Bombyx mori: one gene and its partner. The protein of the gene in region 1 interacts with the protein of each later gene in a pairwise test. Links are inferred from orthologs where the notes say so. Each region holds a gene or a part of one and is shown on either strand. Other genes may lie near its edges. The genes, in order: moesin/ezrin/radixin homolog 1 and rho GTPase-activating protein conundrum.

Region 1 (2,939 bases):
AAATGAGAGTGGACTGTATTTTTTGGTTTTGATAACTTTATTAGTCTTTAAGTGACAAATAAAAAGATATATGAAATATGAAATCGATGTGTCGCCCTTGGCGGCTGGAATTGAAAAGGGGAAAGTGTCAAATCAAATCAAAAACAAATTATTCAACATAAATGAAAGTACATACTTGTTGAACGTCAAAAAGAACTACCGCCAATTCACAAAAACTAGCCTCCGTCCTGAGAAGAATTGGCAAGAAACTCAGCGTCCATGTCTTTTTTTTTTTAAATATTAGATAAATTTTTTGTCATAGTGGACGTCGCTCGTTGACACTTTTGACGTTTCGAATTCAAACAGTCGCCAATCTCTTTAGTTTCTTTAGAATCAAAACGCAGTATCGCTACGGCCGAGGACACAATTGACAAATGTTTATTGTATGATGCAGGCCAACTTGCTCGAGGCCCAGGACATGATCCGGCGCTTGGAGGAACAGCTCAAGCAGTTGCAGGCCGCCAAGGAGGAGCTGGAGCGGAGACAGGGAGAGCTGCACGACATGATGCAGAGACTCGAGGAGACCAAGGTAATTTACTTGTTTAATAAAAAACAGCCCACAGACGTCCACTGCTGGACATAGGCCTACCCCAAGCCTCGTCACAAAGACCGGTCCTGCGCTGCTTGCATCCAGCGGATCCCCGCGAACCTCAATAGATCGTCGGCCCATCTAGTGGGACGCCTGCCCACGCTGAAAAAAAAACCAGCTTATTCACTGTATAAAGTAATTCATTTACATAATTAAGTGAGGTAAAATGTTATAAATTTATAACGAGGAGAAATCCAGTAGAACATATTTTTAATAATGAGCGTTCGCCCTGTTCGGTTCCAAACAATATTCGTTCAAGAAACAAATGACTTGTGTTGTGACTTCCAAAGAGTAGTTTATAGGATCGCTTAGTTTTAAATACAATTAAATTACATGACTGAAATTTGTCTATGAATTCGTTCATCCCTTCTCTGTGTCAACTTTAGAAAATTGGGGAATGAAAATGACAATATGTATTGATATTGTAATATAATATCTTGTTTACTTTTTTGTACTTTTTATTTACTGGTGGTAGGACCTCTTGTGAGTCCGCACGGGTAGGTACCACCACCCTGTCTATTTCTGCCGTGAAGCAGTACTGCGTTTCGGTTTGAAGGGTGGGGCAGCCGTTGTAACTATACTGAAACCTTAGAATTTATATCTCAAGGTGGGTGGCGCATTTACGTTGTAGATGTCTATGGGCTCCAGTAACCACTTAACACCATGTGGGCTGTGAGCTCGTCCACTCACCTAAGTAATAAAAATAATAATAATGTACATAATTTTGTTATAGAATATGGAAGCAGCAGAACGTGCCAAGTTAGAAGAGGAAATCCGCACTAAACAAGAGGAAGTACAACGCATTCAAACCGAAGTCGAGCTCAAGGACTCGGAGACGCGGCGCCTGCAGGACGAGGTGGAGGAGGCCCGGCGCAAGCAGGACGAGGCCGCGGCGCTCCTGGCGGCCGCCACCACCCCGCAGCACCACCACGTGGCTGAGGACGGCGGGGTGGACGACGGCTCCGACCACGGCGAGGAGTCCGGCGGCGGAGACCTGCACCAGGCGCCCGACGACCTCGTCGACCCGGTCGAGGCCAGGACCACCTTGGCCGAGAAGAACGAGCGGCTACACAACCAGCTCAAGGTAACTAACAGTGCTCTCACGCTGCACCGCGGCAACGAGCTGCCAACCTATATTCAACAGCATCTCACTGCAAGTGTGACAGAGTTTAGCCATACAAACTATACTCGTATTATTTTAAAACTTAGAGATATTAAAGGATAAGGTCTAGAATAAACTTATTTTGAAATGGTAGGGTAGATGGATTTGTGCTATATATTTGTTAACTTTAACTGAATTAAACAACAAAAATATATCGCTCAAACAATTGCTCGACTCCACACCGTGAGTGTTTGAAAATTGCATTTTGTGAAAAGATTAAAATTAAATTTTTCTCGATCAGTGAGCACACGACGAGCCTTTTAAAAAAACAATAAAATTAATTTATCAATTATTTTTTTTGTAATTATGGAGTATATTATATAATATCTCGGTATCTTTTCAACAGGCGCTGAAACAAGACCTCGCGCAGTCCCGCGACGAAACTAAAGAGACGGCCATGGACAAGATCCACCGCGAGAACGTCCGCCAGGGACGAGACAAGTACAAGACGCTCCGCGAGATCCGCAAGGGCAACACCAAACGTCGCGTCGACCAGTTCGAGAACATGTAACTTAACGTCGCCGGCGCTGACTGTAGGGAGCTGACCTGCACACGACACATAAATCACAGAATCGCGCTCAAAATAAACTGAATATCGATTTTTGTACAATCGATAGTAAATTGTAACGATATTTTAGTATTTTCCAAATTGTCATTCAGTATTAATTAATAGGAACAGTGACTAAGAGCAGTTCGTATCTTCGAGCTCGGGTGTGTAAATTAAATAATGTAGCGTATATAAAATACACAAATTTTGTACTTTTTTAAAAAAAACTACTGTTCATAGCAGTAATTCTTTAAACTGGCAACACTGTAAAGTGTCACAACGTATTCAAAATAAATTATCTTACCAAAAGTAAACTCTTCCCGTAGCAGCTCCGTTAGCTCCCAGCATGTCGACGTGCAGAGTCCGGTGGCCGTACTGCTTGTAAGCTCATGTATTCGTATGTAACATATAGTATTGGGGAATGTGTGCACGGACTTCACACCAGGCCTAGTCTAGATTTAACGAATGTCCATTAGAAAAAGAGAAAGATACAATTGAATTACTAGTTTAGGCTTAAAAGTCTGTACGTAAAGTTAGCATCCCGACATCAGTGTTACTGACATTGTTAATAACACTGATGACGATCGGTACCAAACAAAAAT
Region 2 (3,833 bases), on another chromosome or scaffold:
TGTGTGTGTGTGTATGTGTGTGTGTGTGTGTGCGTGTGCGTGTGTGTGTGTGTGTGTGTGTGTGTATGTGTAGATGCGTGTTAATACCTAATATATAAATTGCTCATTACCAAAAATGTGTAAAAATGTGTAATCTACTCCAGTAATTCTTCTATATCTTCGTATGTAAGGGAGAAAAGCCATCTATCAATGATAATTTTAACTTCTTTAGAAATAAGTGGATAAATATTTAGTAATTTATTTATCTTGTTGTACAGAATAGAGCTTAAATACCTATAGTGAGACCTGACTACATTATAATTTGCTACATAGATTTTGCACACTCTGCCCTGACGACGAGTTTGCGAACAGATATTAGGGTCAAAAACGAGTTCCAAATGTTTACGTAACAATGTGCTCCTAATAAAAGATTGTCTAACTCGAGGCACTTTGCAGATATCATACAATTCCTCCGTTGGAAACCTTATTGGTTTTTTAGATATTACTTTAAGCACGGCTCTCTGTGCTCTTTCCAATCTAAGTAATAATCCTTTCTTACAGCCTCCCCAGACGACAATGCAATAGGTTATGACAGAGTGTGCCAAAGCATAATAAACCATTTTCAGTATGTCGAGATCGCTTGATGTTCTTAGCTTCCGAAAGACAAAGATAAGCTTTCGTACTTTTCCAACCAAATCATTTATATGCTCTTGCCAAGATAGGGTGCCGTCAATTTTTAGACCAAGATATTTTACAGCATTAGTTCGTGAAATTTTTTGACAAAGATCATTATATAGGGGTGTTGTTCCCAGGATTGGCCGGAGGCGGACAGTAACGTGGACATAGAGAGCATAAGCGAGCCTCAACTGAAGCGCTTGCAGCCGCTACTGTGGTTGGAGCTCACGGCGATATTCGACAAGTACTCGCTGCCCTTCCAGAAGAGGAAGCCACCCAAAAAGAAGCGGAAGGAAGGTACGAGAAACCTAGCAGGAAATAGGAAAGCTTTTTCTTAATAATTTCAACGATCCTCTATCAAGGACCTTATAGTCTTAATAATCTTATACTGGTGGTAGGACCTCTTGTGAGTTCGCACGGGTAGGTACCACCGCCCCGTCTATTTCTGCCGTGAATTGTGTTTCGGTTTGAAGGGTGGAGCAGCTGTTGTAACTATACTGAAACCTTAGAACTTATATCTCAAGGTGGGGGGTGCATTTATAGATGTTTATGGGCTCCGGTAACCAGTTAACACCAGGTGGGCTGTGAGCTCGTCCACCCATCAAAGCAATAAAAAAAATCCTACTTATCCTTCGTAGTATGTGTTATAAGGGCTGTTACATTGCAGAGGGCTCCGTGTTCGGCGTGTCCTTGGAGACGCTGGTCCGCAAGGACATGATCCTGTGGGAGGAGACGTGCAGCGCGCCGAGCGTGCTGTGCTGCGTCACGCGCGCGCTGCGGGCTCGCGCGCACCACGAGGGGCTGCTCAGGGTCTCCGGGAACAAACAGAAGGTAACAACATGCTCCTCCACCACACTAGTTCTAGTGAACGTAATTCTAGCGGTAGGCAGCGGCATGGCTCTGCCCCTGGCATTGCTGAAGTCCATGGGCGACGGTAACCACTCACCATCAGGTGGGCCGTATGCTCGTCTGCCTGAACTGTGAATAAAAAGTAAAAAAAAACCATCAGTTTGCTATCGAGAAAAAAAACTATTTAATTTCACCTCTTCTCAATCGATTTAATTATTTTTTTTCACTCATTCTTATGACGCTTGAAGGGAACAGCTGATTTCACTCAATTTTAACTTCACCGTAGCTCAGTTTTTATCGCACCGCCCAACTAAACCATTTCTCCCCAAACAATCTTACCTAACATCGCCTAAACACAGACTTCGGAGAATTTTGTTCGTGATTTATATCTGCTTTAAATGGACATTGCTTTATTAATATAGATTGACTGGTGGTAGGACCTCTTTTGAGTCCGCACGGGTAGGTACCACCATCTGCCTATTTCTGCCGTGAAGCAGTAATGCGTTTCGGTTTGAAGGGTGGGGCAGCCGTTGTAACGATACTGAGACCTTAGAACTTATATCTCGAGGTGTGTGGCGCATTTACGTTGCAGATGTCTATGGGTTCTAGTAACCACTTAACACCAGGTGAGCTGTGAGCTCGTCCACACATCTAGGCAATAAAAATAAAATAAAAAAATATTTAATAGTTAAGTATTGAAATGAACAAGTGGCTACACAACGTGCGATCTATGGGATTGACATCAGAGAGGCCACATGACTTTTCGTTAGCTTATGTTAATATGTTAGGCGGGGGACCCTCGAAATTCTGATACCAAAGTCTACCTTAATTGAATAAAAACATTAGTTTCCCTTCGTCTGATATAAAATGAAAATAACAATGAAATTGCCAGAACCATTCCAAATTTTAAATGATTTAGGTATGTTAGGCGGGAGACCCTGGAAATTCTGATCCGAAAATCTACCTGTATTGAATAACAAAGATTATAGTTTTTCCCTTTATAAATATAATACTAGCCGTATTCGCCCGCTTCGCTGGGCATTTAAAATTAACATTATTATTTCTCACCTCCACAAAGATACTCATCATTAACGCCCCCACAACTGGTGTAGGGAGTCCAACACTCATATAAATATTAGCCTATCCATTAAGTACATGTATTTTCTACATGGATACCATGTTTCAAGTCAATCGGATGCATGGTTCAGTAGTTATAACGGAACATCCGTAAAAACCACTGTAGATTTATATATTAGTATAGATAAATTAAAACCAATGAAATTGCCTGAACGATTCCAAAATTTGACTTAGGTATCAGAGCTGAGTCAGCTGATAGAGCGGCAGTGGTACGAGGACCGCGGCGCGGTGGAGGCGGCCGTCTCGCTCGCCAAGGGACACGACCTCGCCGCCGTCTACAAGCGGCTGCTGCGGGCGCTGCCCCAGCCCCTACTCACGCAGGAGCTCATGAGGCTCTTCTACCACACTTATGGTACGTATATTCAACACTGCTGTCTTTTTTGACGTGACAACGTCTTATAATTCGATGGAGCCGGCTGCACGCACGAAAAAACATGACTCATGCGGCGTTACCTCGCTCTGAGGCGTTCCATTAAGGCTTGAAGTGCAAGCGAGAACGCGCAACGAGCGACAAAGAGGCACAATCGGCCGCCGCGTTCGGCAGCGTTCGACATCTGTCTCTCTCCTACTTGAGTGAGCGATGCATCCGCGTGGACAGCTGCTATACAATAATACATTTACATGTTTTCGTCAAGTATCAGTTCAGTGAAAAGTGAATGTGGTGTCAATTGTTTATAGAAACGATAATTGCGATAATTGAAAAATGAAACCATTCCATCAGTATTTTCTTATGACGTTGTGCGTTCAACTATCGTCAGTAGTATTGATACCGTACCGAGAATTACCGAATTTAGACGATGTCAAGAAAAGGGATGTCCAATATGCGTGTTTGAGAATGTTGCTCAATCGATTTTTTTTTTCAAAATGATTAAAAAAAAAATAAAAAAAAAATGTGTGCGTGTACTAGTGTACACACGTAAGAAGTGAAACTTGTTTATGGCCTTATTTTTCGAAAAATGATCTACATGCAACTTTCTAGAAATTGGTTAAATAAAGTTAAATTAGATAAAGTTTAAACAAAAGGATTTTATTATCATAGACATGAATACAAAAAAGTTAAATTAGATAAAGTTTAAACAAAAGGATTTTATTATCATAGACATGAATACAAAACAGATGGCGCGTAACGGAAAAATGTGACGCGTAACCGAAAAATGTGACGGTAAATTTTTTTCCAACGCCGATAAGGAAGT

Evidence for each region.
Region 2: the proteins of moesin/ezrin/radixin homolog 1 (region 1) and rho GTPase-activating protein conundrum interact in binary tests that used the Drosophila melanogaster proteins (3 or more experiments, as listed by UniProt). The link is inferred for Bombyx mori from reciprocal best matches to the Drosophila melanogaster genes Moe and conu.

What each region holds. Positions count from the first base shown.
Region 1 is NC_085115.1:15,742,929-15,745,867, forward strand, and holds part of moesin/ezrin/radixin homolog 1, read left to right. Parts: intron 1-433; coding exon 434-568; intron 569-1,361; coding exon 1,362-1,712; intron 1,713-2,136; coding exon 2,137-2,301; 3' UTR 2,302-2,939. UniProt on the Drosophila melanogaster protein: Involved in connections of major cytoskeletal structures to the plasma membrane. Together with wgn, involved in control of axon targeting of R8 and R2-R5 photoreceptors, independent of egr.
Region 2 is NC_085111.1:1,609,589-1,613,421, reverse strand, and holds part of rho GTPase-activating protein conundrum, read left to right. Parts: intron 1-791; coding exon 792-951; intron 952-1,321; coding exon 1,322-1,485; intron 1,486-2,814; coding exon 2,815-2,992; intron 2,993-3,833. UniProt on the Drosophila melanogaster protein: GTPase-activating protein (GAP) for Rho1; functions with the ERM protein Moe to regulate Rho1 and control proliferation in the developing epithelium. Recruited by Moe to the cell cortex where it negatively regulates Rho1 activity.